2 linked regions of the Mus musculus genome follow. The protein of the gene in region 1 interacts with the protein of each later gene in a pairwise test. Links are inferred from orthologs where the notes say so. Each region holds a gene or a part of one and is shown in the gene's direction. Other genes may lie near its edges.

Evidence for each region. The genes of interacting proteins can lie anywhere in the genome.
Region 2: the proteins of Ctbp1 (region 1) and Nol4 interact in binary tests that used the Homo sapiens proteins (3 or more experiments, as listed by UniProt). The link is inferred for Mus musculus from reciprocal best matches to the Homo sapiens genes CTBP1 and NOL4.

Annotation. Positions count from the first base shown.
Region 1 is NC_000071.6:33,272,147-33,276,561, reverse strand, and holds the start of Ctbp1 (C-terminal-binding protein 1), read left to right. Parts: upstream 1-1,557; 5' UTR 1,558-1,743; coding exon of another isoform or gene 1,744-1,783; intron 1,784-4,415. UniProt on the Homo sapiens protein: Corepressor targeting diverse transcription regulators such as GLIS2 or BCL6. Has dehydrogenase activity. Involved in controlling the equilibrium between tubular and stacked structures in the Golgi complex.
Region 2 is NC_000084.6:22,692,519-22,695,693, reverse strand, and holds the end of Nol4 (nucleolar protein 4), read left to right. Parts: intron 1-559; coding exon 560-753; 3' UTR 754-2,539; downstream 2,540-3,175.

The DNA of each region.
Region 1 (4,415 bases):
AGGTCATAGGGTCTCTTAGGATGGGCATGTTCAGAACCACCTGTGCATCTCCACATCTCTACCTAGTGGCTTTCTACCTCACATCCGCAGGAGCAGACTCCTGCCTGCAGGGACCATCCCTGGAGTAGGAGTCCAAGCCAGTGTGATGGTGACAAGAAGCCTGGGTTTCCGAGGCTTCCTGGGAGGTTTCCGAGGTTTCCTGGGAGGCCCTAAGGGTTTTTTTTTTCTTTTTTTTTTTTCCATTTTTTTATTAGGTATTTAGCACATTTACATTTCCAATGCTATACCAAAAGTCCCCAATACCCACACCCCCCCCACTCTCCTACCCACCCACTCCCCCTTTTTGGCCCTGGCGTTCCCCTGTACTGGGGCATATAAAGTTTGCAAGTCCAATGTGCCTCTTTCAAGTGATGGCCTATTAGGCCATCTTTTGAGCCCTAAGGGTTTTTATACAAGCCCTGATATAATCCCTCACAAGGATGGAGTGATGTGGTGGTCCTAGTCACAATGTGCAAGAAAAAGTGGGAATTTGGGCAGCCTGAGAAGGAATAGGAGGTGTCACTCTGCCATGGAGTTGCTATGTTAGGATGGAACAACTGGGAGGAGCCCTTTGGATGGATCTGTAGGGAGTCACCTGCAGCTCGAGAAAACTGGAACAGACCAGGAGAGACAGTCCAGGATAGGGGTGGGGATTAAGGGAAAGTGTACATCTGCTGGCTTTCCCCCCTAGCCCTCAGTCTATTTAGGAAATACTGTAGCAGGTTTGAGACTCCACCTGTTAGATCTTTTTCTCCATCCATGTCTGCCAATAGATGGAATTGGAAGGTATTTTCAAAGCATTTTTTCTGTAAACAGATGCCCAGGCCCTTGTCATCCCTCATTGATACTGCCCACCTTTCTCAAAGATTTGATTTTCAAAACTCGTAACCATATGGCCTTCAGCATCCTTCAGTTTGGACTGTTCCCGTGATGTTATTATTATTATTATTATTAATTATTATTATTATTTTATTTTATTTTATTTTTTTTTATTTTTATTTTTTTTAACAGCTAAGCGGTATCCCTCGCTACGCCTGTCTGACAGTCCCACCAACAGTCAGTCGCTTACTCTGGGGTGGCCAGCGGGCATCTGTCCCTGCGCACAGATCACTTTCCCTGGCTGGGGCGCTGTCCAGCTCCTGGGTCCTGGGTCCGCGGCCCCAGCTCTAGCGCACAAGGGGCCGAGTGAACCGCTCTCGCTGTCCTCTTGAGGCCCCGGCGACTAGACTGGTAGCGCCCCACGCGGATGGGCTGCTTCACCACTCAGGCTCCGGCCCAGGTCACCGCGCCAAGGAGTGGCAGGGGCGCAGTCCGGGGTACGCGCAGGGGAGGGGAGGCCGGGGGCGGGTACAGCTGGGGGCGTGTCCAGGAAGGGAATCCAGCCTGGGAGGGGCGCTGGGGGTGGGGGCCGAGCGTCGGGCCGGCGGGCAGCTGGGCCCCTGAGCCGCCCGCGTACGTCCAGCGCGCCGCCTTGCCTGCAAACAGCAGACCAACCGAGGCCACGCCCGCGCGCGCGCGCCGCGTGTCCCCGCCCGCTCGTCGGTCGGAGCGCGGCTGGCGGCGCGGTGGCGGCTCGGCACGGCGGTGGCCGGGCGCAGGCGGCCGGGCGGAGTAGCAGACTGCGCCGAAGCCGCCCCAGGCGCAGGGCTCGCGGCGGCGGAGAGCGCCGGACTCATCGGGGCCCGCGGCCACCCGCACCTTTCAATGGGCAGCTCCCACTTGCTCAACAAGGGCCTGCCGCTGGGTAAGGCCGCGCGCGCGCATTTCCGGCTGCGGGCGGGGGGTGGAGGGGCGGGGGCGGGGCGGCCGGGCGCGCGCGGCGCTGGCTTTGTGTGCGAGTGCGCGTGCGCGCTCGCTGCGCGCGCGCCTGGTTGGGGGGGAGAAACCCAGGAGGCCAACGGGTGATGCGCATGCGCGAACTGCTGCACGCGCGTGCGCGTCCCTATTTTCCGATGCCCGCTCGCGACCCGCGCAGGTGACAAAGGGGCCTGTGGTGGTGCGACCCAGACTGTGACCGAGCCGGGCCTGTCTTCCTGGCCCGGGGTCCCGCGAGGATCCTTCTCGTGGACACCCAGCCGGGACCTAGGTGTTCCCGGAGTGACGAGCCTGCGGATTCCGCATGGGCCTCGGGTCGGCAGATCCGGGAGCGGGTAGTCTCTAGAGGTGGCGCTGAGGGAACATGGGTGGCCTACATGCCTATCACCCCTCTGGTCGACTTAGTGATGCTCAGCTTGGCACCTGGATTTGGACCACTTACGTTTTTTTTTATTCATTTATGAAAGTCCTTAAGCCACAGGGGTCCTGCCTGTGGAGGGCAGTCCTTCCTTGGCTGCGTTCCCTGGCCGCGTAGCCTGGCGCACGCGCAGCGAAGACGACCCCACCTTCGGGCGGGGCAGCCGAGAGGTTTCGGATTAGGGAGGAGCCTTTTGCCCACCGTCCAAGTGCCCTACAGTGTCCCTCTCTTTGGCGCTTCCACTTTAATGACCACACGGCTTGACCCCCAGCTCTGTTCTCACAAGGGCACTGCCTTCTTCCTTATAGCCTGAAAGCTGGCAGGGGATGAATCCTCGCAGCGTGTGCTGCCAGCAGGAAATAAGGAACTGTAGGCAGGAGGGAAAAAGGGAGGCGCCCTGTGATGGCCCACTATACCTCTTATCACACAAGGCCATTTTGCAGATCCTGTCAGTTTGTTTCAGGGTGTGGCGGGGTAAGGCCCTCCAGGCCTGCCTTCATCCTGGACTGGTGGTGGGTACTCCTCCCCTACACTGCACCTCTTCAGAGCTGAACTCCCTGGAGGCTCATGTGTATACACACACACACACACACACACACACACACACTTTTGTAGGAAGAGGCTCTGCACCCAAACCAGCAGGGTTATAGTCCAAATTTCCCATGGGGTAGGGAGGGCAGGCCCAGCCCATTGCCTTCCAGAAATCAGCAGGACAGCCTTGCCTGTCAAACCTTTCCTGGCCCAGGGTTATGTCCCTTGTCGTGTTGAGCTTTTGATTGATTAGGACAAATTTGCCTTGTAGGAAGGAAAAGGGAAGGAGTTTAGCTGTCCAGTATTTAGGAAAGTGAACCCAGTGAGCCAGGGTGTCAGCAAGATGATACCTAGCAGTTTTATTCCCCGGGTAGTATGTTCCCTTACTGTGTTTTGCTTTGTCACTTCCAGATTCAGAGCACGTGTCCAATATAAACAGGGATACACAGGATGCTTACCCCAGTGTGATTGGCATGCAGGACATCGGGGCTCCATTATAGAGTTGGACTAACATCTTTGAGACCCCGGGGGAGCATGATCTCTGGAAGAATGATAGCAGGATGTGAATATGGGCTGGGCTCATATGTGTGTTCTCTCTGTTTCATCTGCAACATGGGGTGACAGCTGTGGGATGTGCCAAGTTCAGGGACAGCGTTGTGGTGTAGTGTGGGGTCATACTGTTCTCCGGAACTCTATGAGTTTGCTTGTCTTGTTACTATTTAGGGTGGCAGCTGTGGTTTGAGGCTGCTCTTTCTCTGCATGGCCCTGCTGTATGTGTCAGCCTGGCTTCCACAGATGTCTGAGGGCACTGTGCCATGTTAGTTGTACATAGTGTGGGCTGGGGCCTGTGGAATCCTGGTGGGACCTCAGTGATACACTGTCCTTCTCTGGCTATTCTATCTTCTGTCACCTGTGGACCTGTAGCAGGTTTCAGCTTGTGTTTCGCCCTTTTCCAGATGAGTCTCATGCTCAGAGAGGTCTAGTGTCCCCTTCAGGGTTCTAGGTGGGACAGACTCCTGTCCTTCCAGCAGCTCACTATTTCCTACCTGCCTTTTGTACTTCATTGGTGAGTGCCCACAGGGTAACCTGGCAAGAAACTTGTGTGGACATTGATCCTTAGATCTGGGTACTGCTGAGGACCCCCTGTCCATGAGACCTACTAGCTGTGTGGCCTCCCGGCATGGTATGGAAAGCAGACATGTCCTGAGGTCTGTACTGCATGGCAGCACCTTTACACTAGCTTTCATTCTTCTAGTGTCAGGAAAGGATTTGGCTTGCTTGGTGCTGGGCAGGGGGCCTGCCTTCAAGCCCCGGGATGTAAACTTCTTCACAAGAGAGGCAGCGGCTTATGTGGACTTGGTTTTGTAGTTAACCCATGGCACCTGAAAGTCTGTCAGCACCAGTGCCTGCATTCTGCATCGTCACACTCACTGTTAGCAGTGACTCTGGGTTCTGTGGGGTAGACGGGTTCAGCCTACCGTGTCTTTCAGCAGTCCTGCAGCAGCTGCAGCGTCCTTGTCCCTCTGGGGCTGAGGGCCATGCTCACAAACATGTACTATCTTTCTCAGAGCCCAAACTGTTACTGTGTTGGGTGGTAGCTTTAGAAGACACG
Region 2 (3,175 bases), on another chromosome or scaffold:
AATGTTAACATGGAGAGAAGTACTCACACAGCCCTACCCATGGCTGAGAAACTCCTGATACCACTGCATCTCCATAGGTCCAAGCTCCCATAGATAGTTTAATGCCCATGCCCATGTCCGCAGCACTAATAGCAATCAGTGGGCCTTTAAAAAGAGAAATAAAGTTGGGAGGGAGACTTTGTTAATGAATGCAGCAAATAGAAATATTTGCAATTCATCATCTTAATACTGGTACACTGCAGCTTCTGCACCATGTGGGAGACAGACTCAAATTGAACTCTTCTAACAGACGGTGTTCAGGTGTTCAAAGGATTCGAGTCTTCCCTATAACACGGAAGGATGGCTGGAAACTGTCCAAGATACCTGAAAAAAAAATCCTCAAGTCATATCACACTAGTCATTAGTCTTTCAGAGCACAGATGCATATTCGATTATAGAGGCCACGAGTTTCTCATGAAAGCATTCTTGAATAAATGCAATCTTAATTTGATGGGCACTCACCTGTGAGATCTTAGAACAAATACTATTCCTGTCTTATTTTGTGATTCTTTTTGTCTAGGACCCACAGATCTGAGCATGAAGAGGCAGCTGGCAACTGGCTCGGGATCGTCCAGCAGCTCAACCTCCAGACCTCAGCTCAGTCCGACGGAAATCAATGCCGTGAGACAGCTTGTCGCCGGTTATCGAGAATCGGCTGCATTTTTATTGCGTTCCGCAGATGAACTGGAAAATCTCATTTTACAACAGAACTGAGGCAAACGATGTCTGTACTCACTGGGTTCTAAATTTGCAGTTTCCACTAATGACACTTGATTTTCCAGCAGAGATACTCCTAGGCTTGCTGCACAACCTTTTGAGGGAAGCATTTCCATCATGCCAGGCTGTCCTTGCTCCATACCCTGGTGTGTTAAGGAACTTCACAGGAACTCTGACCTTGAAGTACTTGAGATGCTCAAATGTGCCCAGCCTGTTGCTTTATGTTTTAGTGTGTCAGCATAAATATCATAAGCAGATTTTTAAAAGCCTGGATATTCTTAATTCAAGGATAAAAATGAAGAAGCTTGTGGTATATATACATATATATATAAAGCTCAAGATCCAACTGAAATATTAGTGGAATTTTCTACTGACTCATTGGACTGAAAGATGAAGTATCTGGGGAAATAAAAAGCCAAATTTCTTGTTGCTACAGGATATGACAACAATGAAAAGGATCTTGTATTTTAAAAGAAAAAATGTAATTTTTATAAAAAGAAAACTTGTTTTTCATTCAGAATGGTCATTTTTACTTTGGTAACTTTTTCATAGGTCCTAAAAGAAAACTGTTTTTTGAGAAACTATTGTTAAGTACCCTTCCTGCATCCCTTTTGCCTTCTCCTCTTTCCAAATTCTTTCTACAAAAGAAAAATAACAACCCTCAATGCTGGAAAACCCTTTGCCTACTTTCTGTAAGTCAACTCATCAGGAACTACTTCCAAGAGATGCCTCCATTTCCAGTCTCAAAACACCCACGCCACACGGCAGCTTACCACAGAAGTTTTCATCCCAGAATTTTCTAAAAGTTATAAAAAAGACCATGTTGAAAACAAAACAAAACCCAGCCCCTTGCGCGTGCTTTCCTCAGAGCTGCTCGCCCCTGGTTGTGCTACCAAGCAACCCTCCAGAGCAGCGACTGGGTGTAGATGACTGAATGTTACTGAGGTTGCAAGTGACAATCTTAAACTTTGCACTCTTGTATGTATTTCTCATTTCTTTTGGAAATAGTTTCCAGGAAAGGCTGTTATGTCTCCTGCTATGATTTGTATCATTTAAGCTTCTGTTCTTGTTTTAAATTGAGAGCTCTCAGCCGATCGAGCTGGATCTTAACAACGAACTCTCCCCTCCTGTCTCCCAGGCTCTGCCATTTTCTCTATTTCTAGTGTTAGACACACTCTGAGTGGTATTTTCTGTGCACTGAAGCAGCCTATTTTTAAAATATTTAAGGAGAAGTACCTTAGCTCATGCTTGTACTAGTTCCCTTTCTGTTGTTTAGCTTCGGTTGAATTACAAATTCTTTGTGCATTCTTGACTTTGCCTTATTTTATGTAAAATCTCTGTCATTCGGGTTTTGACAATGAGTTGAAGGCATTAGTGGCATTCCTTACTCCTTACATCTAGTTTTTCAAGTACTGACTGTGATTGTGACCAGGTAATGTGCACTTTTTCTTGTAACTGTGGACATTGCTATGCTTTTTTCTTCTAGTGTTTCTAGAACTATTGTTCCTTACAGTTACGTAAATAAAAAAAAACAAAAACAAACAAACAAACAAACAAAAACAAAAAAAATTTGTGATACTGTTGGTGACTATAATGTGAAAATCTTATTGAAATATGAGTATTTTGGAAATACATAGATGCACAAACATCTTTTAAAGGTGTGAATTTAGAGTTTGCTTATTTAAGGAAAATTTAAAATTTTGAGGGCTGGTATAATTTTTCTCTGTTTTGTTTGGTTTAATAAACAGATTTCTGTGTTAAAGAAATGATTCTGAAAACTTCTAAACTTTGTTTTGTTTTTTGTGGTACTAGGGGTCAAACCACGGTGCAGGCCTGGCAGTGCACGCCATCAGTCAAGTACTCTAACCAAGGCATGCACCTCTAGCTGCTTATAAATTTTAGTACTTAAGTTCTATCAGTTTCTGTTTAAAATATGAAGTGCAGTCTTGTGACAGTGTTTGAAAAAAAATAATCTTCTAACTTCCCCCTAAATATCCCATTTTGGCATTCTGAGACTGCACTCTGAAAAGTGAAGAGGATCCGCCAGTCCAGGTTACTACAAAGATTGTTTACATCTACTCAAAAGATAGATGTTCTTTTTAGCTTTATTGCTCATTTTTTTTCAAGTATGACTTGGCTTTCATAAGCCTTCTCGACTGCCCCATGTCTCCAGGGCTTAGGTAAGTGGCTGAGTGTGTAAAGTGTTTGTTCTGCAAGTATGAGGACATAAGTCAGATCCCTAACACCACACACAAAACCAGGTATGGCCACAAATGCCAATAATCCTATTGCCTCGTGCACTGGCCAGCCAAGCTAGCCAATCAGTTATCTCCAGGTTTAGTTAGAGGTCCTGTCTCAAAGGCATAAGGTGGTGAGTAACTGAGGAAGGCATCCAGCAATGACCTGTGACATCATAGGA